Linked DNA regions of Arabidopsis thaliana. The protein of the gene in region 2 interacts with the protein of the main gene of each other region in a pairwise test. Each region holds a gene or a part of one and is shown on either strand. Other genes may lie near its edges.

Evidence for each region.
Region 1: the proteins of MOS1 (region 2) and AT5G10350 interact in a protein complementation assay, tested with the Arabidopsis thaliana proteins (one study listed by BioGRID).
Region 3: the proteins of MOS1 (region 2) and SUF4 interact in a two-hybrid assay, tested with the Arabidopsis thaliana proteins (one study listed by BioGRID).

The regions. Positions count from the first base shown.
Region 1 is NC_003076.8:3,253,492-3,260,354, forward strand, and holds AT5G10350 (RNA-binding (RRM/RBD/RNP motifs) family protein), read right to left. Parts: upstream 4,321-6,863; 5' UTR 4,256-4,320; coding exon 4,145-4,255; intron 4,055-4,144; coding exon 3,952-4,054; intron 3,810-3,951; coding exon 3,739-3,809; exon of another isoform or gene 2,723-3,738; coding exon 2,531-2,722; intron 2,449-2,530; coding exon 2,321-2,448; coding exon of another isoform or gene 2,317-2,320; exon of another isoform or gene 2,232-2,316; coding exon 2,183-2,231; 3' UTR 1,745-2,182; downstream 1-1,744. Other genes in the region: AT5G10340 (F-box family protein), read left to right, coding at 356-1,554; EMB3010 (Ribosomal protein S6e), read right to left, coding at 5,243-5,481, 5,569-5,841, 5,939-6,047, 6,141-6,198, 6,491-6,555, 6,646-6,651. UniProt on the Arabidopsis thaliana protein: Involved in the 3'-end formation of mRNA precursors (pre-mRNA) by the addition of a poly(A) tail of 200-250 nt to the upstream cleavage product.
Region 2 is NC_003075.7:12,730,078-12,739,993, reverse strand, and holds the start of MOS1 (modifier of snc1), read right to left. Parts: upstream 7,317-9,916; 5' UTR 7,192-7,316; exon of another isoform or gene 7,128-7,191; intron 6,610-7,127; 5' UTR 6,570-6,609; coding exon 6,541-6,569; intron 6,043-6,540; coding exon 5,959-6,042; intron 5,876-5,958; coding exon 5,831-5,875; intron 5,738-5,830; coding exon 5,368-5,737; intron 4,830-5,367; coding exon 4,727-4,829; intron 4,324-4,726; coding exon 4,207-4,323; intron 3,983-4,206; coding exon 2,905-3,982; intron 2,824-2,904; coding exon 2,595-2,823; intron 2,486-2,594; coding exon 257-2,485; 3' UTR 1-256. Other genes in the region: TAR2 (tryptophan aminotransferase related 2), read left to right, coding at 9,300-9,547. UniProt on the Arabidopsis thaliana protein: Involved in the regulation of the chromatin structure and DNA methylation at the SNC1 locus. Regulates the expression of SNC1 at chromatin level.
Region 3 is NC_003070.9:11,038,531-11,046,661, reverse strand, and holds SUF4 (zinc finger (C2H2 type) family protein), read left to right. Parts: upstream 1-2,888; 5' UTR 2,889-3,068; coding exon 3,069-3,262; coding exon of another isoform or gene 3,263-3,266; intron 3,267-3,713; coding exon 3,714-3,814; intron 3,815-4,049; coding exon 4,050-4,179; intron 4,180-4,645; coding exon 4,646-5,055; intron 5,056-5,148; coding exon 5,149-5,291; intron 5,292-5,404; coding exon 5,405-5,602; 3' UTR 5,603-5,977; coding exon of another isoform or gene 5,978-6,049; 3' UTR 6,050-6,387; downstream 6,388-8,131. Other genes in the region: AT1G30972 (Plant thionin family protein), read right to left, coding at 1,752-1,991; AT1G30960 (GTP-binding family protein), read left to right, coding at 6,685-7,203, 7,400-7,489, 7,597-7,742, 8,076-8,131. UniProt on the Arabidopsis thaliana protein: Sequence-specific DNA binding factor that recognizes the 5'-CCAAATTTTAAGTTT-3' sequence. Recruits the FRI-C complex to the FLC promoter. Required for FRI-mediated FLC activation, but has no effect on the expression of MAF1, MAF2, MAF3, MAF5, UFC and CO.

The DNA.
Region 1 (6,863 bases), on a different chromosome or scaffold from region 2:
TAATAGAATTAGATCGGAACAAATTCAGATCGAATGAATAATAGATTAGATCGAAGATAAGTTTAAATCGAATGAGTAATTAAATAAGATAGGAACAAGTTCAAATTAAATGAATAATATAATTAGATCAAGATAAGTTTGAATCGAATGTTTAGTAGAATTAGATTTATTTTTCTTTTTCCTTTTGAAAATTTTACTTTTATCATACTGATTTGATGAAATCCGTTTAAAATTTTAAGATTTCTCAAATTCATAAAATCAAAAAAAAAAAGAAAACAGTTTCTAGATTTACTGATCTACCCTTTTATTTTTCTCGGACTCTGACTAGGGTGATAGGTTTGGTTTATAAATAAAGCATACGGAGGCTCTTGTCTTCAATCTATAACATTGAGAGATTCAGAGACAAGTATGGAAGAATTGTTACCACACGATGTGATAGAGTATCATATAATGGTGAGGCTTGATGTGAAAACCCTCCTCAAGTTCAAGTCTGTATCGAAGCAATGGATGTCTACAATCCAATCCCCTAGTTTCCAAGAAAGACAGTTGATCCACCATCTTAGCCAATCATCAGGAGATCCACATGTGCTTTTGGTGTCCTTATATGATCCTTGTGCTCGTCAACAAGATCCAAGCATAAGCAGCTTTGAAGCTCTGAGAACTTTTTTGGTGGAGTCATCTGCAGCTTCTGTTCAGATCCCTACTCCTTGGGAGGACAAGTTGTACTTCGTTTGCAATACTAGCTGTGATGGTCTGATATGCCTCTTTAGTTTCTATGAACTGCCGAGTATTGTCGTCAATCCCACCACTCGATGGCATCGAACTTTCCCTAAATGCAACTATCAACTAGTCGCTGCCGACAAGGGTGAGAGACACGAGTGCTTTAAAGTCGCATGCCCTACTCCTGGATTTGGCAAAGACAAAATCAGTGGCACTTACAAGCCAGTTTGGTTATATAATTCCGCTGAGTTAGACCTAAATGACAAGCCTACTACTTGTGAAGTTTTCGATTTTGCCACCAACGCTTGGAGGTACGTTTTCCCCGCGTCCCCTCATCTGATTCTTCACACCCAAGATCCTGTTTATGTAGACGGGTCACTTCACTGGTTCACTGCCTTGTCACACGAGGGCGAAACCATGGTTTTGTCTTTGGATCTTCACTCCGAAACGTTCCAAGTCATCTCTAAAGCTCCCTTTCTCAATGTCTCTGATGAATATTATATCGTCATGTGCAACCTCGGTGATCGTTTGTGCGTATCCGAGCAAAAGTGGCCCAACCAAGTCATATGGTCGTTGGATGATTCAGACCACAAGACATGGAAGCAAATATATTCCATAGACCTCATTATCACCTCTTCTTTGTTCTTTAGTGCCATATTCGCATTCACCCCACTAGCAGTTTTGGACAAGGACAAGTTATTGTTTTATGATAGTACACACGGGGATGCATTCCTAACACATGATCCAGATACCAAATCTTATGATTTGCCTTACACATCTAATCGCTGTGCAACTGTTGTTTGTTATTTCCCGAGTTTAATTTCTATTTTGTAGACTTGAATGATTGGTTATTTGTCCAAGCATTCTTTTTTGGTCGTTATTTGTCCAAGCATTCTAGTTTCTGATTAGTTTACTCACTGGGTTATGAATTACTATGTTTTATCAATATCAACATCACATTACAAATTTTCATAAATTTAATGTTTTGATTATACCATACATCAAAAGTACTAATGACGAGAAGAAAAAACATTATTCTTTTTTTTACTCTGTAATCATCGATTCTCCAAACCGAAAAGATAACAAATACTATAAGGAATAAGGGATTTGATTATACCATACATCATTGATTAGTAAAGGTTAGCTTCTGACTAAGGGATTTTTTGCGGAAACATAATAGCTTCTTACAAAGGCTTCTCTACGTAACATCAATCTTCTTGTTGGTATACTTATTTAGCCCCCTTTGGATGAAAGAAAGTACTAACAAAGATATAAACTGAAAGTAATATCGACCAAATATAATCATAATCTAAAGAAACAAAAGCTTATAATCTCATCCGTACATGACAGATTCAAAATTAAGTTCAGGTGCGAGCAAAGTCATATTCATATATAAAGCTCGAAATGGAGGGACGACCTCGGCATCATCTCTGTCATAGTTCTTCTTATTCCGGTACGGTTTCTATTGGTAAGGCATGTACCGCATTGGCCTTCTGAACCTAGGAGCCTTCCTGCACGAGGCATTGCCGAGTCTCGTGAGACGAAGAAGAGAAAGCCATTTGTGATAAACTGATGGTAAATATGCAGAGTTTAAACTTACCCGTATCCATATGGGGAATAAAAATACGGAGGCACAAAGGGTCTGCGAAAGCGGTATCCCATTGAAGGGTTGAAACGCCCAGGATGATACTGTTTCATTCCAGGAACATTGGTTCGCTTAGGCGAGACCTGAAATGAAAACCAAAAGAGAAGAGTTGAGATCAATGAACTGTCCATTTCCTTCAGTATTGGTCTTAGTACGAGAAGATACCTTCAGTTGACGACCATGAAGCTCTGATTCATTCAGCTGCAGAGCTTCTTGCACGGCTTCCACTTCTACAAACTCCACATAAGCAAATCCCTTTGGCTGTCCAAACTTGTCCATTAGAATGGTTACCCGGTTGACTGTTCCGCATGTTTGGAAATGTAGTTGCACTTCTTCAGGTGTACAGGCATAGTCGACCTGCAGGGTGGATAATGAGGTCTTAGTACAACACAAGCATTCTTATTACAACTAAAACCATGACTTACTGAGAACGTAACAGATAGATAAGTTAACCACCCCACTAAGGGAAGCCAAGAGACAAACTTGTGTGTTCTAAAGCAATTTTCCATGTCTAACATTAGACCTAAGTTATGTATGGTACATAAACGCTATGAAAGTCTTCATTTTATGAGCGTGAGTTCAAAAATACATGATAAAAGGCCAGCATCAAACTGCAGCCTCTCGCGAAATCCGCAAACAACCAAACCTGTATTAGCTCCAAGTATCCTCCCTGCGGAGCTTTGGGTCTTGTTTAGAAAGCATCCAGCATCTTGGCATCTTGATCCAGCTCTTCAGAGTTCAGAGACCATCTCCTCAAGGATAACAGAAACCTTGCTTTCTAATCCCACCCAACTCACTCAGACTCCCTTTTTCCTCTCAAGAAATCCTTCTTTTTTTTTTCAAGCTCATGCAATATTTTTCTCCACATTTTTCTGCTATATCTTTTTTTTTTTTTTTCAAATTTTTTTCCTTCTCTTTTCTTTTTACTTTCAACATTTTTTTTATAGCTTTTTTATCATCAAATTGCACGGGAAGAATGATTTTAACACTACAACAAGGAAACTAGCAAAACAGTCACAAAACTTAGTTGAGAACCCAGAGCTATTAAGAACTTCATTTATGAGAACAACCCTGCGATTATATAGGACATAGAGGTCAAACTCTTCAACTAGAAACAATAAAGAACCTACTTCACAACATTAAATTTAGAGAAAGCCTCTTGATACAGATTCTAACAGTAATCTCAAGGGATAAAGAACAAAGCTAAGACACAATTGCAAGCAGTTCTTTTATCAAAGATGAAATTTAAGTTAACAAAATAGTCAGCCTAAGCTAATCCACACTAAGATTGGCAAACAGATCAAAGCCGTTTAGATGAAACAATGATTCAAGCACAGAAGAGATACCATGAAGTAGAAAATAAGCTATCTTACATTGCCAACATAAACTGATCGAGCATCCACCTCCTCCTTTCCTTCTTGATTTGCAGCCATACTAGCAGGATCTGAAACAAATTGTTAAGCAAGAAACAGAAGTTCAATTTCCTAAAAGTAATCTACACAATCAACAGATTCCTCCTAGTATATCAAATTCAAAGATAGTCTCGAGCAAACGAATTCAAAAAAAAAACGAAAGAGTCACAAAACCTTGAGTAGCTCCCATTTCTTTTTCGACTTTTGCTTGCATCTCTCGTAGCGCAGCAGCTTCTTCCTCCATCTCCTTTAATCTCCTCTTCATCTCAGCAAGCTCCTGATTCCATGAAATCAAAACACCAAAAATCAAACAGATGTATACACACGATATACAACAAAATCAAAATCGAACGAAGCAGAAGTAGACCGTAACGGCGTCCTCATCGGCTGCAGACATATCGATATCCGGATCGGGAACATCCGTATCGCCGACTTCAGGGATTTCTCCACCGTAAACCTCGTGCTCTTCTTCCTCCATTTTTGTTTCCACTCTTCGGAGCTCAAGCAAACGAATAAAGCTTCGCTTTGGTGAATGAAAACGACTTGCACACTTTTCCTACCGATCCAGATAGGTCGATTGCAAACAACGACGTCGTCTCGTATTGGGCCTCGGTTACAAACTTACAAGAGCCCATTATCATAACACTCTAACTGAATCTGAAGGTTTTGATTTTTCTTCAAAATTCAATTCGGCCCATCATAGGCCCCAAACATTATGGAAGAAACAGGCTTGTGAATAATTTATCAAATTATATCATGGATCAAATTAAATTTATGGACCAAATTAAGAGGTCTGTGAAATAATACTGCATAATATGGATCAGATTAATTTATATCAGAGACAAATTATCCACAAAAATATGATACAGTTTGATCCAAATTATTCCAAAGGTATTGATAAGAATGACTTTTCCCCAAAACATATCTACAGCCATTTGTTAAATAAATAAATTTTAATTGCAGTTAAGCAAAGTTCTTCGTCTTCTTCCAACCTTTTTAGTTTTTTACTTACCACTGTTGTAAAACAGAGGATTTCGGCGAAGATGGCATAAGGAGACAGTAGAAGCGATTCTCCGACTCCATAGTCTCCGATCAACACCAGCTTGAAGAAAGGAGTCAGTCTTCAGCGACGGGTCTCCATATTAAAAGAGTTTAATCGAGATTGAGTTTTGGTTCAAAACATTACACTTTTTGGAAAAAACACTTTAAAGGTAGGTCATCAGTTTATCTAATAATGAAGACATCTGGTCATTTACTATCAACAAACGGGCATATAAATAAGAACTAAATATAACAAACGTACTACTAAGAGGTTCAAAACTTTGATATAATAAAAGGCTTGAAAAGTTGACACAAAACAGAAACCAAAAATAGTGTTCAAAATGGCGTTCTCATGTCTGTGGAGCAACTTAAATACGACCAGAAACAAACTAGAGAGAAAGAAATTTCTTAATCTTGAGGCAGTTTAAGCAGCAACGGGTTTAGCAGGAGCAGAAGAGAGTCTAGACCTCTTCTTGGCCAAACTTTCACTACGGCGATCACGCTGCTCCTTTAGTCTGGAGGCAAGAAGCTTCTGGTAATCAGCTGCATCAGAGTTAGCCTTGGCGATTCTCTTCTTCTTGTCAGCAATTCTAGCTCTCTTCCTCTGGAGGGTCAATGGAGTCACAAGCCTCTGGATCTTAGGAGCCTTGCTAACCTTCTTGCCTGCACATGGAAGCCTCATATATTAGTAAATCATCAATCGTATAAACAGTTTTCAATTATCTCTTTAAGTGAATCTAATTTTCTTACCCTTCTTGTTTGTGAAGGTACGGCGGTAAGTGTTAACGTACTTCCTCACATCATCCTCTTTTCCAAGGTTAAACAACTTGCGGATCTTTGATGCCCTCTTGGGACCTCTCATTCTTGGCTTCTCAGTGTCGGTAAGCCCGGGAAGATCACTTACACCCTTCTTCACAATGACCAAGTTAAGAACAGACAGGTCAGGGCTCACAATGCAACCACGGACAGACTTTCGTCTCCTCTCTCCAGTCCTCCTTCCGTGTCCTCTAAAACAAGGAGTACCTAAACACAATAACCAGATCACATAAATAAAAAACACAGAAGATTAATGAAAAAAAGAGAAGCTGTATAATTTTATCAATGGGGTGGAATCTAGTACCTCGGTGAAGCAAAAGACGGACACGCCCTGGAGTGAGAACTCCTTGTTTCATTGGGAAACCTTGCTTGTCACATCCTCCCATGATCTTGAATACGTATCCCTTGAATTCCTGCAAATAGCTCAAAACACACACAATTCTGTTAAGTATACTGAACTCACAAGACATCAGAAAAAAACACTGAACCAGGAGAAAAAATTTCACCTCGCCTAGAGCATCTCCGCTAACTTCCTGAGAGAGCCTCTTGTCGAAAAAGGCGCGGCTGCATCAAAACAACAGAAATGAAACTCAATATCTTTACCAAAATCGACAATGTTGATTTTCAGATTCAGAACTGGTTATATATCAGACCAACGCAGTAAACATCATAGATTCCAGTAATGCATCAGCTATAAACAGATCCTAGCAGTGTGAAATAGTAACTATCCTACGATTCAAAGGTTTGGATTCAAAGAATTTTACGAACTTCATAGCAGATTGTTCACACTCTACACTCAATAAGCCAAATGTAAACAAATCCATGAAGAAAATGTGATTTAAAGCAAAGATCTTACAGTTTTTGATCGTCATCGATCTCGAGTTTCTTTTGACACCCGGTGGTCGGATTGGCGACGTTGAACTGCGACACAAACCAAAATCGATTGAATCAAACGAAATAACAAAGAGATAAACGAGAACAGAATTGATGAGAAGAAAAAGATGGAGCCACCTTCATCGTCTCCGATAGACACTGCTGCTACAACAGCCTGCGTAAGATGATTGAAGATATAAAATGCTCTCGACGCGGCTCAGCTTTTAGGGTTTTGCGAGAAAGTTGAGAGAAGCAACTTATAGGAGAACCAATAGGTAGGTTTAATTGAATTGGGCCTACATTTTATGGGCCCATAATTAAATTTGGGCAATTGACAAAAAATTGTTAAAAAAAAG
Region 2 (9,916 bases):
ATTCATCTAGTGTATACAAAAGGCTACTACAGTAGTTATAATCATATTCAAACAAGTGACTGAAACATATAATAATAAACTCTCAAGACAAAGACTTTTTTTTTTTAATCTGCCAATACCTCCTCGGATAGGTCTCCTCTCAGCAATCTCCCAAGCTATGTGCCTACGAATTAGCTTCCTCAATCGCCATATCTCAAAATGCAAGTATCCTCAGCATGGCAGCTCTTACTACCTAAATAACAATAAGAGGCCAATCTTAGTTTCTATCACCAGTGAATCCATGACCACCGTTTCTCCCACTAGTACCCCTTTGCTGTTGGTATCCACCCTGCCTTTGCTGCCCCTGTCCCTTCTCTCTGTATCTTGGACCTTCTGTCTGAGAACTCTCTTTCGATTGTTCTCGACTACGTTCTCCATCATAAGTATGAGACCCAACAGGTTTGTATTCATAATGCAGATTTTGCTTCTGTCTATCTCTGTTTGAAGGTGGCCTCTGATGGTGATGGTGCATATTCTCTTGCGCCGGTAAACCCCAACCTCCTTGTGACTCCTGCCCTCTTCCAAACCGTCGACCCTGCCCTGTGTTCTTTTGGAACATACTATTCGGATTTTGCTCAACCTGGACCTCCTTATTGGTAGATCGGTTTTGCAACTGGGCTTGTGTATCAGCTGATGTCGTTTTTTGTTCTGTAGTAAACCCTTGATGCTCGTATCCAACAACATTTTTTTCCTGAGATCCATAAGGTTTGTCCCTTGTACTTTCACGACCACCATACTTACCTGTCCTATTAGCTGTATGCCACACATGATCTCCAGGGACACGACCTTCTTTTGAAGCAGCAGGCAAATCTGGTTGGCTAAACCCATGGCCAGAGTGCTGCGTATGAGCTTTATTGAAATCCCTCTTATTGCCTTTTTTAGGGTCACCATAGTTGCTTCCTCCATCCTTGTTGCTTCTTGAAGCATGCTGCCTGCCGTGCATGCTCATTCCTTGATCTTTTCCAACAGCACTGGATTCCATTTCTTCGGCAGCAGAGTAATGCGTTTCAGGAGTCATATACCAGCCATCGTTCCATCCATCCTTATTACATGTGGTTTGATCCTTGGCAGCAATTTGTTCGGTTTGCTTACTAGAGTGATAGTTCACTGTTCCTCGGATGGGCTGATTTGAGGTTACAAATTGTCCATCCTCCAAAGCTTTAGTAGGTGCTCCAGAACCTCTCTGGTGCCATGATGCATGTTCTCTACCATGCTTTCCCTGCCTACCATTCCCATGTCTTGACTTTGAAGGAGACCCAGATTTCCCTGCAGTTGAACCAGAAGGTTGGAGAATTCCTGTACCCTCACCTCCACGATTTTCTTTCTGGTTTACATTCTCCGACATATCTGGAGCAGAGGTTACTAGATTTTTACTGACGATTTGCTCAGCCATTTCCTTTACTATAGGCTTCGGTACATATCTTTCAATTTCCACTCTTTTGCTTTTAGAACTAGTCTGTCCTTGATGCTGACTTTTTGAAGAGGTGCCAAACTCAGGGACAGTAGTCTGACTCCCTCCACCAGTGGAAACATCAGCTTTTTGCTGTGGATGTACTGGAGCCCAAATAACAGCATTGTTGCCAGAAAATTTCTCTGCAGGCTTATTTACCAGTGAGTTTCTTTGAGTCCTACGCACATGTTGAGATTTCCAGTTGTTTTTAGCTCTGTTTTGAGACTCTTCATTAGTGAAGGAACTGATTTGTTCAGACGAATCACCAGACACTTTGATATCCAGGCTTGGAACTGAAACAGACCCCAACTCAATTTCAGCTGCCCTTGCCCTAGCAGTCTCAATTGACTCATCTCCCGATTTTGTTTCTTTTCCAACGGCAACTCTTGTAGTATTCATAGTTGCTGTCTCCTCAGCCTTGTGTTTTTTCTTACCATTCCTGTTATTTTTTCTTTTCGGGAAAGTTGACTCAGCTGAAACGGTTGACGTCGCTGGCATGTCTGAGTTATTGCTTGAGACACCTTCATTAACAACCTCAGGAGACGGGACAACATCAAACACCTCTGCAGTAGCAACAGAGCTCCCTGTCGGTTTTTTCTCAAATATAATATTTTGCTTCTGCTTATAACCCAAGCGCTTCTGTTTTGAGGCACCGCCATCACGTGGAAGATTATCCTGTTGGGAAGGGCCCACATTATTTGCATATTCTGTTGAAGTCCTCGTGTTTTGCGTTGTGTTTTTTCCTGATCCTCCAGTAGGTTCTACGGAATTTGTAGCATTAGATGAATGAGATCCAGGATCTGTTGGCATGTCAGCCGGAGAAGCATTAGATGCAGCTTCCATGTTCTTAACTGAACCCTCCTCATATATTTGGGAACGTCTATTTAACTCTTCTAGTTTTGCAAGAGCCTTAGCCCGCTGATCTCTCGCTCTTTCTTCCTCCTCTTTCTGCCTCTGTTGAGCACGCTGCCTGGCTAACTCTCTCATCGTAGAACGCTTTTAAGGGAACATGGCAAACACTCAGTCAAACCAAAAAAGGATGACTACAAACAAGAGATACATAAAAGTATAAATAACAACCAGAATCATATGAACTAGTTTATACCTGGTTATCCTTTGGGTCTGCTGATATTCCCGACCCAGGCCTCCTGATGGACTCGGTATCCAAAGAGTCATCGACATTAACCTCGCGAAAGCTTTCTGTGTTTGTAGCTAAAGTTGTATGGGAGGAGCCTGACATAACAGTTGTCTTCTGCCAAGCATCATTGCCTTCACTGTTCACTATTCGTTTGGTCTGCGGATCTGCTCTGCCTTGAGTCTGTTGAGTAGGTCTCCTGTAGGTACTAACATCAAAACTTTCCCGACATAAAGGATGGCATAACTGGCCGAAACACAATTGAAAAATGATAACTGACCTGAATATGCTAGTTCCACCCATAGCTGCGGGTTCAGCATTCTTGTTTGTGGCAGAATCACCTTGATTATAGTGTGATGAGTTCTTACTGTCACTTGCATGACCAGTTCGATGATTTCTGGCTGAAACTTTATTTGCAGAGTTCCCAGAATTGAGTGTACGTGGTTGGCTTTCCTGCTCATCTCTATTAACAACAGATGACGAATTTTGCCAACCATCATTAGTTCTAGTTTTTGCATTTAAGCCCTCGATTTTCTGAATCAAACTAGGATCTCCAGGGGCAGCAAGTTCTGCTTTGACTGGTTGTACTTCACCACTTGCGTCATTTCTGATTTCTCTCCTCTCGTTTCTTGAAGTTTGCATCTGTTGAGCTATCTTCTCTGCATTCGGGAGCCTATTTCCAAGAAATTCTTCCCGCTTTGCATTATCTTCCCCAAACCTCCCATCTTGGTGCTTTAGGAGAACCTTGTATGGCCTTTGTGTTTCTTGAGAATGTGATGACTCGTTCCGTTCCAAAGACACTGAACTTCCAGGCGTATCATATCCACCTTGACCAGAATGATTGTTATAAGCATGCGGACCAGTAGGCCTACCTGCAAAAGGTAGGTCTCTGTTGCTGGGACTGCCATACCCCATGGGAGGACCATAGTAGCCTTCGTGTGGCGCTGGACCAACATAAAACCCAGGCCTAGTCTGCATCCTTGGGTGGACATAAGAGTCAAGCATTGGAGGTCTGAACATTCTTTCATTATTAGCGTGATTACCCCTAGGACCAGCCCCATGTCCAGGAGCAGGTGGAACTTGCGTAGGATAAAATGGAAAAGGATCCATGTGAAAACCCCCAGGACCCATTGGGGCACCATACGGGTGGTTCCCTCCGTACCAGCCACCTCCTTGATGATTATTTACTGGAGGACCACGCCAAGCATCATACCGAGGAGGAAAATTAGCATTAGGATAAGATTGTGAACCACGTGAGTCCAATTGCCCTTCCTCTCTACAATGTCTAGGTGCATCTTCACTGTATGGTTGATTCTCTCTTCTCCAGGAATTGGCATCCCCAATCCGGTCATTAGCTTCTGCAAATAAAAGACAAGATATGGTCAAATATAGTGTCCGCGAGAACATCCACTAAAAAGATGTACGGGGAATAAAGCAGTAAGAAGAATTCACATGAACACCTGTGAGGGTAACATGGCCCTCTCATAAGAGATGATTATAAACATAAGTAACTCTCGAAATGAGATGCCAACATCTGTTGTATATCCCCAAAACATAGAAAAATAGGTTTGAAAGTAAGAACCTTCTGTGCAATCTACACCTTGCCCTTCCACAGATCTTCCAGACGAAGATGGAGGACGAGCGTGAGGTCCAGCATCTGCAAATTTGTAGTTTCTAAGAGCCATGTCTAACGTATCTCCTTCATATAAGCACATCACATTCTATCTAGGTAATCCTAAAATTCTCAGTGGCACATATTAGGAGGTCATCTAAGATCGAAAAAGTGGTCAACCAACAGCAAGCCAAAAAAAAAGGTCATTCCCGAAAGTTTTAACTTTGCTGAATATCCGTGTAGATAAACTTCTCAACAGAATTACATTTAGAAGTACCAACTTTCAAAATGAACCCGTCTGTGCTAACGTCACTCCCTTGAAGGCAAGGACGACGAGTATAAGATTGAATTGTGTACAAGTTGAAACAATTTTTTTTTCCTAGTTTACATGCTGATCGTACTTTTTGAAAAGAGCAAAGAGAACTATTCTTAAATCAAAGTACTGTAATGCATGGATGACACAATAATTTTTACTGTTAATAGATGGTACCTTGTGGCCTTGTACTCTTTTCAGAAGTGTCCTTTTCAGCACCAAGGGAAGGAAAATCTCCAGAAGTCAAAGAAAACCCATCATTCTTTGATGGAGCAACTCCCTGTAGAAAACAATGAGAAGTCTAAGAATGAAGATAAATTTCATGGTAGATAATGCAAAGGTGGGTAAATTGTACACAACTATTCTTCAAAAAAAACCTTGAAGATTGAAGTTTGCCAAATAATAATACAAAAACCCTTCCATCAAATTCTATTTGCCCAACCAGAACTCGAGACTTATTGGAGACCATGTGCCACTCAGTTGTCAGATTATCTTACGCACTACAAAGCATTTCTCTAAGAGAAATAAGTGCCCTATAATTTGACAAATTTAGCATCCTAATCTTGTTCCCATAGCAAACACGAATGATGTATCCAGCTATTAAAGTTCTATCTAGATTGAATATCAATCATTAATCCCAAAAAGTAATTACCATTCACAGTCCCAAAAACATAAGAACTTGCTGTGTGTTTGTTGTAACTAAGCACAAGTGAAGTAAGAGAAGAGTGACATGGAGCTTCACAGATGTAAGGATAAAAAAAGATGCTTAGCAGAGTCCCGATAAATATTAGAGACGACTTTAAAGGGAAGAACCATACCAACTTCTCTGGCGCCACATGTTGACCCCATGTTGCAGAAGTCTCTGACACGGGTTCAGCAAATCGGGATAACTGGGAACTTCCTGGTCTTGTGTCTGCACTATGTGGACGCTGTAGTGCAACTGATGGCTGATTAGATGGAAACACCCCAGATGCTGATGAAGGCCGCGAGTTCGAATCCCATGCAACAGAAGAAGAAGAGTCATGTGCTTTGTTACTATCGGCAGTTGAAGGTCGAGTGACACTTCCACCAGAAGAAGGTCGATTACTGAGGTGGCTTGGTGAACCAGGGCCACTTTCAGTTCGTGGTGACAAGGATGATGTCCCCCAAGCATTCAGTGATGATTTACTGCCCCAACTAAGTGTTCCCCTAAAATAGATGTCCAGAAGAAAATTAAACCATCTAAAATTTGAGGACGAAAAAGAATGAGGGAAATAGCATCTCAAACAGGTACAAACTTACTTTGGAACAATTTCTACATTTGGGTCAAGGCCTTGGTTCTCTAACCTTAAATTCAGAAGAGAAGTGTTCAGGGAACGAGATTATACATATATATGAAGTCTAAATGTGATCATGCGCTCATCAAATACCTTTGGCTTGGTAAGTTAATCGGTTTTGGAACAGCAACCTTTCCCAATATAGTCATGCCACTTCTTCTTGTAGTACCCCATCTGCTAATATCCAGCACATGTAATTTCTCATCATCACCACAGAGGATACAAAGCTCTTTAAGTGTAAATGAGCAAAGTATAAATGATTATACAATTTATTAAAAAAACGATCAGCTCTTTACATATGTTTTCTACACACATTTTACAACTTTCCCTTCTTTTAATCTAAATGGTGATGTTGGCATGTTGCAAATCAATAATAATGTTGAATAAAATTATTACAAATACATGGTGAATGTCTATCATGCAAGCAAGCTCTTTCAAAGAAAGAAAAACCACACCCTGAGTTTCCTTCTATACCCCAGGCACATATAGTGATTCTATATTTTAACAACAGTTGGAATATACAGCACAACGAAAACAAGTAATTCATATGAAGAAAAGGCCAAATCAAAAGAAAAATCATGCAAGTAACGTGCAAAGAGGCCAATATATAACCCATAATCCAGTATAAAAACATAGAAAAGTTCATGACAAAGATAAAGTTGAAAGAAGAGAAACCTTCGATCTCCTGTCGTGCTAGAGGTCATTATAAAAGCAGCTACACGATCCAATTACACCACTTGAAACCTGTAAGTCACATACAGAATCAGATTCACAAATGAAATTTGAAGCTCAAATCCCAAAGAATCAAACAAGACCGACACTGAAGAACTATTGCTATAACACTGCTACCGTGAAATGTGTTGCAGAATCAGACTGCCTATACAAATTCTCCAACATGAATTGAAATACTTTCTAAAATTCACCATCATAACAGAAAGACAATGTTCGACAATCAAATTGGTACAGAAACCTAAAAGTATGAAAGATCGTCAAACTGCGGAATCAAAAGAGGTTCCAGACTAAATGACCGCAATACTAAAAAAACAATTGACGTATTCCCAGAATGTTGACAATTTCGCAATCAACTTGCTAGAACAACAACAGCAACAAAAAAAGAGCTCTGAAACATACAAATGTCTCCAGAAATGTCAATCAAGCTCTACAAAAGGACCCAAATTACTTCAAAATGCGATAATTCTATAAACTCATCACTCGATTCCTCTGGAATACAAAGGGGAAAAAAAGGTAGAGAAGAAACTGACCAAAGGGGATTATAGAGAAAATCTGCTCTCTTTTTTTGAATAGAGAGGGGGGGTCCTCGCAAACCCTAGATATTAATTGTGAGAATCGAACGAAGAGGGTGCAGATCGGATGTGTTCCTGGGCGATGAGGGAAAAGGAAGAAGGGGAAGATGAAGGAGAAAAGGAAGGATCTGTGGGAGAAAGAAGAAAGTGATGATGATTGATGAAGATGAAGCTTATTACGACGACGTTCAACGGATTGGTTGAAAGAGGAGAAAGCGTCGAAGTTCAGGGCTGCACGGTTTTACTCAGCTTTTCCTCTCTCTCTTTTTTTTTTTCCTGTGAATTGTAAAATGAATGCCGATTAAAATAAAATAGAGCGAATAAAGGATCACCTATCTCCAAAAAACAAAAATATATATATAAATTAAAAGAGTAGTATTATTCATTAACATCATTTATATATTTACCTACCCATTTTAAAAGATAGCCATAGTTTGACAAAAAAAAAAAAAAAAAGGATAGCCATAAAAACAATACTTAACAAAATAGTTTCCTTTCTTTTACATTTTACGAATGTTAAAAATGGGGGAGAAATTGAATTATGTGGTAGGTTCACTTCTTCATTTTAAGGACATGTTTAGGGAAGTAAGACGATGGCAGGCATGATCAAATGAATAAGGTTTTTTGGGTAATGCTTATGTTTATCTTCCAAACCTCTCATGTTTCTTTGTGGAGTACACTCATTCTAAGGAAAGATCATATATTAATCCGGTGTTTTGTAATCGAGGGTTGGAAGTGTTCGTACATGCACTGTGTACATGGTGCTAGAGGATGATCTTGAGCGGATTTGAGCTCAACGCTAGCTTATTTTTTTTCAAATTTTAAAATTTTGTGTAAATTTTATATACAGAAGATTTTAGATAATGCATAGTTTGATTTTTATTAATTTATTACGAGTAGTCTTAGCATATTTTAAATTTTCGTGCTTTTCTCCAAATTGATACTTAAGAGTTAGAGAGAAAGCCAACAAACTTAAGAAAGTTAGAGAACGAGACACTTGAATGCTTACAAATGATGATCCCACCCCATTTTATACAACTTCACCTTTGATAGAATCATATTCAATAAACAGTAATGTATGAAAAGAAAACAAAAAAACAAATATACTTGAACAATGACCAAATATAATAAACCTCTTGGATCCAGCCCATATGATCTTTGCTAAACTCTTGAACAATTTGGGCCGTGGCAATATGTAGATTTTGGTCCATGGATCATTTATCTATTTTAATGTTACCCTTGCAGAGATTATTTTCTTCTCTTTGTTACTTTCACAATCAACACCCCAAAATATGTTATTACAACAATTTCACCCTAAATCGTTTTGTCCAAATGTGTAAATTACACTAAACATATATAGGGCAAAATATTACATAGTCAATATAATGAGCCTTAAGCTAATCTAATTAGATGTGAAAACAGAGAAGTGACGTAAATCTAGAAAATATTGTTACACATAAAGCATTCACCAGTCTTGTACTAGTAAACAGAGATCCTGAATAAATTCAGTGTCTCACTCGGTTCATGTACTGTCGTTTCCAAGGTCTGCCATTGACAAACCGAAAAGCTGAAACTCTTCACGCCAAAGCCAAAATACAATAACTTTTTCCCAATGGGAAATATCTTTTATCGTGGAGAGAAACAAACAAAGAGCTTCGACCTAATTACACATTCTTCTTTTTCAGTTTACATATAAAAAGCCTTCTAGCGATCCTTTCACTGTGGCCAATTTGTTCTGTGACCTTTTGATCCTCTGCCTGCAATTCTACAGGTATTTTGATAGGTAGTCTCAGTTTAGAATTTGTCTACTAGGATTAAAAATTCAATTTCTTAAAATCGTGATTGGTAATATTTATGAGTTAAGTACATGAGTTAGGTTCGTAATCCAATATAAACACATTGTTATACATACCTTTATCTCTTGAGATTCTTCAAGGGTTATTTTAATCTCTTACAAAAATCATAACTTCGAATATCAGCCAAAAAAAGGATCAGTCTCGTTGGACACCACTTGTTTGTTTCCTTTGTTTTTTTTAAAAGAGGTCTTTATCCAGCTATCCCACTCTGCTCTTCTTCTTTAAGCATTTTGCATTCTTGTTTCTTGGTTTTGTGTTTTAGTTTTGAGAGAAAATGGGACAGATTCCGAGGTTTCTTTCTTGGAGGAATATGTTGGTCCTCTCGTTGGCCATCAACTTCAGCTTGATTCTAAAGATTTTGAAGGGTGATAGAGAACGAGGAGATTCATGGGACAGAACAGCGTATGTTAGCATATGGCCCGTGGTATCCACCACGGCTTCAGAATCTTCTTCGTTGTCTTCAGCATCTTGCAACTATAGCAAGATTGAAGAAGACGATGATAGAATTATCAATCTCAAATTGTAAGTTTCTACTTACTCTCTTCCATGTGCTAGATTACAATTTTCTAAAGAAAGTTCTGTTCTTGTCACTATAGTGGAATTTTTGATTGCTTGTTTATTTTTTCTTGGTGTTCAGAATAATAAATGTGTATTAATGGCGTATCCTCTAGAATCTTTAGAGAAATTTCTCCCTTATCCTATACTTGATTATATAGCAAGGAATCTAAGATTATCCTTTAAGCACGCAAGTGAAGCTCCAAGCTTTTATGCAATAATCACCATTCGATTTTAAATGCAAACATTGAAAGAGGGATAAAATAGTCAATCTAAAGGTTTTGATTCTATTTTCCTAATGATCTTTCATTGACTTGCCTATATTTTCTAACAAGT
Region 3 (8,131 bases), on a different chromosome or scaffold from region 2:
AGTATGTCTATTTTAAGTTAATTATGTCAGAAGTGGGGTTTGAACCCACGCCCTCTTACGAGGACCAGAACTTGACTCTAGCGCCTTAGACTAGTTACAATGGTTTGTTGTAAACCATTTTACAACTGGTGAAAAAACAAATTCCACTATAATGGTATTTTGTAATTGAAAAGTAGCTGATGTGGCAAATTTAGTGTTGATAAATTTTAACATCCGTGAAAGTAGAAGGGAGAAGATAAGTGTGACAAGTGTTATATTTTGATTGGTTGCTTTGATTTCTAATATTTTTGTTTCATCTTAATTATATAACTTCAATTATTTCATAATATTTATATATATTTATATATATATAATTTATATAAAATTTTATAAATTTTCATTCTCTATAAACAGAGACTATTTTCATTTGATTTAAATACAGAAAAAACCATTTTTAGACCCAAAAATAATGTATAGGTTAAAATATGAAATAAAAATGGTGGGGTAAGGTGTTGTAATTTTATTAAACAAAACTATTGTAAGATTAAAAATTATGTAGGTGTTGAATAATGATGTGGAAGAGAGAGAAAATAATGTGGAGTGTTAAAAGTGAAAAAGTGGGTGTTATAAATAGGTAATCATTGTAGATAGTCTTAGACTACTCGGCCATCCTAACGAGGACCAGAAGTGGAATAATATGATTATGTAACTTACTAAACATTTTGGAAAAATATACAATTAAGCAAGAGTTTTGGGTTCTTTACGAAATATTACACAAGAAAGTACCTTTTCTTATAAACACAAGAGAGTAACCATTAGCTAAAATGTACAATTAAACAAACATTGCACAAGTTGTAGAAAAATGTAAAAGCTTCGGATTTAAGCACAGAGAAACGGCAAAACAAGTGAGAGCCAATTTTGCTTCAATAGGAGAAACGTAGTAGTGGCAGTTTTATTTTAAATGTATAAATTGAAACAAAGTGTTTTTCTCTTGAAGCTGAACATAGATGGTTTCACTTTTGTCTCATGTAAATATGGTCATATGGATTTTGCTTTATCCACAAGGTATCACACTTTGAAATAACTAAAATAAAAAATATGAATCAAGAAAATCAATAAGCCGCTACATGTCACTTCCAAAATTATGAAATATGAGATTCGAATCTAAGAGGAGTCTTAAACTGTTAAACAGAGACGTGTTTACAGTCAAGAGAAATTTATAACATGGGACAAATTTTATTTTATTTTATTTAATAGCGTTACAAATTTACAATGATCATATTACATAAGGAGGATACAAAAGTAGAAGAAGAGCTAGTTTAAAAGTCCCAAGAGTCCAACACTGATTCATGACTCATCGTCTCTTCTATTTCTGCGCTTCCACTATACAAATTAGAACCATCGATTATTTTAACCTTTAGTTTTTCCAAATAATCTCTTGAGTTTAATTTAAAAAATAATATTTTCAGGACTATATGTATACCTAAACAGTGACAATGATGTTTCTAAGATTTAAAACACTTTATTACCGAAATATATCTCAAAATTTTACTATTTCAAAACGTTATGTTGCTATTTTATTTTTCACCACATTTTCGAAACATTAGCATACCGTTCAATCATTTGAACATTCCATTGTTAATCTATTATTATTATTACACTAGTCAAACTTACTTCAAATTTATTTATACAAAGGGGAATATATTTTATATAGTTAGTAAAAATCTCAATAATCATTAAAATAGATTTTCTTTGACATATTTCCAAAATTGTTAGATTGTTTGTTTGTTTTTACCTTCTGAAAAATGGTTACCTAATGTACGACGAGGTTTGCCGGGACATCGACGGTAACAATTCTGAAGGCACGTGATCGGAATTCTTCCTGTGGTGGCACAACCTAGAATGCAATCTTCATGGCATTGAGCTTTCGTCTCTCCATTGACATTTTCCATTGCTATAACCATTGTCACCACAAACACCATTATAATCATTGAATTCCATTTAGCACCCATATCTTTAACTTTTTTGTTGTTGCAAGTGTTTCATGTACTTAAGAAATAATGAATAGCTATCCTCTATTTATAATCTTTTCTAATAGTTATCTAATTCTTAGCTCTTATCGTCTCTTCTTCTTATTTGTTATAGGAATTGCTCTTCTTTTTTTTTCCTGGTCAAAGTTTCTTTGTAATAGAGACTAGTTACTTTTTTGGTTAATCTTCTTCTGTTTTTTTCTCTATTTATAATCTTTTCTAATAGTTATGTAATTCTTAGCTCTTATAGTCTCTTCTTCTTATCTGTTACATGGATTCCTTTTTTCTGGTCAAAGTTTCTTTGTAAGAGAGATTACTTACTTTGTTGGTTAATCTTCTTCTGTTTTCTCACAGTTTATTTTAAGTTAATTTGAGATTAAGTTAATTTGAGATTTCATTGGACAAAGAAAATTAACTCTTGAAAGAATAAAAAATTATGTCAGAAGTGGGGTTTGAACCCACACCCTCTTACGAGGACCAAAACTTGAGTCTAAGGCCTTAGAGCATCCACATTGGTCACTTATATGTAGATGTCTTTAAATATAAAACTATAAATAATAATAATAAAAAAATTATGAATGTTTTTAGTTTGAGATTTGTGTTTCTGTAGAGACACTTTAAACACAACAAAAGTGAAATGTCTTTAATTTTATTATTTATTTATACTAAAAACATCTATAAAAAGTTGTCTAATGAGGTTGCTCTTAGACCACTTGACCATCCTAACGGATAACATAACCAATACTAATAGTATCATTATATAACTTACTAAGCATTTTGGAAAAATATATAATTAAACAAGAGTTATGGGTTCTTTACGAAATATTACACAAGAAAGTACCTTTTCTTATAAATACAAGATAGTAACCATTAGATAAAGTAAAAATAAATAAAAAACAGAGAATCTGAAGATCGTAGAAGAAATCGAGAAAACGCTTTGTACCAATTAGAAACCCTAGCGAGCGGAGGAAGGAGACAAAGAACGAGACTTTTGAGAGATTGGAGATTTCAATTTTGAGATCAAATCTTGAAATCAACAAATAGGAGAAAGATTTAGTGATGGGTAAGAAGAAGAAGAGAGCTACAGAGAAGGTGTGGTGTTATTACTGCGATAGAGAGTTTGATGATGAGAAGATTCTTGTGCAGCATCAGAAAGCTAAGCACTTTAAGTGTCATGTCTGTCATAAGAAGCTTTCTACAGCTAGTGGCATGGTGATTCATGTTCTTCAGGTTCATAAAGAGAATGTTACAAAGTATGTGCCTTTTCTTTTTACCCTTTCCCTATGGCTCTTTTTGTTGTGTTAGGTTGATTTGGAATATTAGGGTTGTTGCCTCTATGATCTTTGTTCAAGTTCTGATTTTTTTTTTGCTCTTGTTGTGTGTGATTGTCGTTTGATTTCTGTTAGATTGCGCTAATTGTGACTGTTGTGTTGTGGTTTGAATCGGTTGATTGTGTATGTTTGCTGGAATTTGAATCGTTTTTTTGGATTATCTCTTGAATGGGTTTGGTTAATTTGTATATGTCTGGTCATAAACCCTAATTTCTGATTGCAATTTTTGTAAAGAAACAGTCTTTTGCTTTTGCTTTTGCTTGATAGGTTTTTCTTGGAATTTGTGGTACTGTTCAATGTGTTTGCCTGTTGAATTTGGAATTTGATTCCATGACACTACTAACTTTGAAATTATCTACAATTTTCACACCAGAGTTCCTAATGCTAAAGACGGTCGAGATTCAACTGATATTGAAATATATGGAATGCAAGGAATTCCACCCCATGTCTTGACTGCTCATTATGGAGAAGAAGGTATGCATTTGAGATAGTGAGAGTACTGTTTAGATTATGAGCAATTGATTTAGAGAAGTAAGGCGATAAATTTGTATGTCTCTTCATCAAGTGTTGTAGATCTATTGCATCTAGTGGTCATGAATTCGTTTTGATTTTGCATGCGGCTTTTTGCCTTATCAAAGTTATTATATATTATTGTTATGTTTGCTTGTTTCATATGGTACCTTTTGAACTGAAGTCATGTTTTCTGCAGAGGATGAGCCTCCAGCCAAAGTTGCAAAAGTTGAGATTCCTTCTGCCCCTCTTGGTGGTGTAGTTCCTAGACCATATGGAATGGTATATCCGCCTCAACAAGTACCTGGTGCTGTACCTGCACGACCAATGTATGTACTAATTATACTATACTCTCTCTATGGCCGTTACTTGTTGAATTCTTAGATGTTGTCTCTGTTTTTAAAAATCCGATCCATGCTAAATGATGGGGAACTTTTTTTCTTTTAGTTCTCTTGATGCAAAAGGTTCTTGGTTTCTTTAGTTTGTCTCTGTCCTAGAACTTTTCTACTTTTGTTCTTCTATAAGACCACTATAACACCCGTAGTAAACATTTTTTGAAATAGATCGTTATCTAAGATATTGTTGCACTTAACCAACTATGACCCATAAGGTTCTTAGTTTCCCTAGCTTGTTCTCGTGATTTTTCAGGATAGAACTTTGTCCTAGAACCATTCTTTTGCTCCTCTTCAAGACCACAATAACACCTGTAGTAAACAGTTTTTTGAAATAGTTCATGATCTTAGATATTGTAATATGTATGGCTATTGACCATGATAAAATATTTCGTGTTAGCAGGTATTATCCGGGTCCTCCTATGCGTCATCCTGCTCCTGTATGGCAAATGCCACCTCCTCGTCCGCAACAATGGTATCCTCAAAATCCAGCTCTTTCTGTACCTCCAGCTGCCCATTTAGGGTATCGACCACAACCACTTTTTCCTGTTCAAAATATGGGGATGACTCCAACTCCAACCTCAGCTCCTGCCATACAACCATCACCAGTCACTGGAGTAACTCCTCCTGGAATTCCTACATCATCACCTGCAATGCCAGTTCCTCAACCTCTGTTCCCTGTTGTGAATAACAGCATTCCTTCTCAAGCTCCACCATTTTCTGCTCCTCTGCCTGTTGGTGGGGCTCAGCAACCATCTCATGCAGATGCTTTAGGATCAGCAGATGCTTATCCGCCTAACAATTCTATTCCAGGTTCAATCCCAAGTTCGTAGAATCATTGACTTACATTTGGTTTAGCTGTTTTGTATCAAATTGTAATATCTTTTTCATGTTTTGTTGCCGTAGGTGGGACTAATGCTCATTCTTATGCCTCTGGCCCAAACACTAGCGGTCCTTCAATTGGTCCACCTCCTGTAATTGCAAACAAAGCTCCTAGCAATCAGCCTAATGAGGTCTATCTTGTATGGGATGATGAAGCGATGTCTATGGTTAGTTTATTCCTAATTTCTTATGCATCATGTTGGAATGGTTACAATTGGAAAAGTTTCGAGTAATGAACCATTTGGTTTTCCAATCTGACGCAATGTGTCTGTATCTGCAGGAGGAAAGAAGAATGTCCTTACCAAAATACAAAGTGCACGATGAAACCAGCCAGGTAAGTTCTGATTTACCCTTTTTAAAGTTAAGAAGAGTTTGCTTTTGCAAGTCTAACCCATTCGGTAGGCTTTATTTATACATTTCTGTTCCAGATCCTATTGTTTCTGTGCTAAGAGGTACCACCGTATTATTCAGTTTATAATTTCTTCCCTTAGAATATGATAAGAAGGACTTAGGCAAGAAACTTGAGCATTTTGAATCAATGTTCGAAAGGTATCATTTGTAGCTTGCAATAGTAGGTAGTGAGAAACATAGCGTTTGTATCTGTTTGTTTTTCATTATATTTCCTGTCTATTGTATTGTATTAAAAATGTGGTGATTGGTTCCACAAGATCATACTCTACAGGTTTGGTTTCAAACCCAGGTCAGCTCTTTTTATATTCTTAACTCTGCAAAGTTTGGTACCTTTGCACAATCTCACTGCCTTGGGGAACCAAAACAATACGCACTTAACTCTTTCAAAATAAAGCATCCAACTTCTTAACTCAACACCAAGTTTGTTTCTTTTGGTTTGCAGATGAACTCGATAAATGCAGCGATAGACAGACGAATCTCAGAGAGTAGGCTTGCTGGGCGGATGGCGTTTTAGAATTTGGCACCAAACCAAACCAGCGTCAAAGAAAAGGCGATATGGATGAAGGCTTTGTTACAACAACAAGTCTTCACTCACTTTTGTTCAGATACTGAATTTATGATCTGATTTTAAGTTATTAACTTTCCATCTGTTGTATTCTTTAGCCAGGTGAGTTAGTTTACCATTACATTGTTTAGGGATCTCAGAGATGTTTTTTCTCAGAAGTTTAGTCCTTTTTTTTTTTGGTCGTTGGAGACTTGGAGGAAGAACTTTGTCTCCTTTTCTTCTGAATTGATCAAAGTATTATATTATACAGATTCACCCAAAATGTTTGCACCATGTTGTTCAATATTTTGCCAAAACAAAATTGACTAATATTCCTTCCATTAACTGTATATTCAAACTCCAATTGATACGATTAGTATGAATTTTTGTTGTATTGCTACTTTGCTAGTAGTAATTATATCGAATACAAAGTTAGGGACTACGTTGGATTTGTCAAAAAGTGAGGGGCCTATCTGTAATATTGAGTTACTTTGTCACCACTTCCCCAAAACATCAAAACCTCTAAAACCCTCGGAAGCCTCTTCTGTTACATTTCGTTCAAATCTGTACTTCTCCGAGATCGCTACTTCGCCATTGTTACAAAAATGAAAGCTTTTAGATCTCTACGTATACTAATTTCCATCTCACGAACGACGACGAAGACAACACCTCGTAATCCCCATCAAGCACAAAACTTTCTCCGCCGATTTTACTCAGCGCAGCCGAATCTAGACGAACCCACTTCCATCAATGAAGACGGATCAAGCAGCGACTCTGTTTTCGATAGTAGTCAATACCCAATCGACGATTCCAATGTAGATTCCGTGAAGAAGCCCAAGGAAGCAACTTGGGATAAAGGGTACAGAGAAAGAGTAAACAAAGCCTTCTTTGGAAACTTGACAGAGAAAGGTAAAGTGAAAGTTGCAGAAGAAGAGAGTTCTGAAGATGATGAGGATAGTGTTGATAGGTCAAGGATTCTCGCTAAGGCTCTCTTAGAGGCTGCGTTAGAGTCACCAGATGAAGAACTTGGTGAAGGTGAAGTTAGAGAAGAAGATCAGAAGTCGCTTAATGTCGGCATCATCGGTCCACCTAATGCAGGAAAATCTTCGCTGACTAATTTCATGGTTGGCTCATTTCCTTAATTTCACATTCCTGTGATTTGGTCTCTGAGAATCAATTGAGACATTGTGTATATGTTTATGTAGTGCTGCTATGACTCTTGATTAGTCCTAAAGTTGCAATTTTTGAAGTGATTGTGTATCTTTGTTTATTGCATCTTGATGAGAGTTATGCTTAGTGTTTCGTTATGTCCAAGTGTAGGTTGGAACAAAGGTTGCTGCTGCTTCACGGAAGACTAACACGACGACACATGAAGTGTTAGGAGTATTGACAAAAGGAGATACACAAGTCGTAAGTTTTCTCTTATATATCTGTTGCATATGTAAACTACTCGTTATGGTTAGTTGTGGAGATCAGCCATTCGTAGATTGAATTTTTGATATTTGTGAACCTTGCAGTGTTTCTTCGATACTCCGGGTCTGATGCTGAAGAAAAGCGGATATGGTTACAAAGACATCAAGGCTCGTGTGCAAAATGCTTGGACTTCTGTTGACCTGTTTGATGTCCTCATTGTTATGTTTGATGTCCATAGGCATCTCATGAGGTTAGTCGTTTACTAGTTTTTGTACTTTGTTAGCTTTACATAAGTTATCTCGGAACTGAGAGTAGTATGGTTATGAGCATCATCATCAAGTGGGGTATCTTAGGGTGGGATTATTATTTCTAGCTTCTCTGTTTCGATATCTTTCATATCTTGTTCATCTCTCCGAGATTATCCATAAGCTTGAGAACCGTAAACCGATGGGAAGACACATCTATTTCTTTCTTTTGAAGAAGGCATCATGACTGTGGTTTTTCATTAATTACAAGTAGAAATAGAGTTCTCTTAGACTTATTTTGTAGTTTGTGAATTCTGTTTTCTCTTTGATTTATCTAGTCCCGATTCAAGAGTGGTACGCTTGATCAAATACATGGGAGAAGAAGAAAATCCGA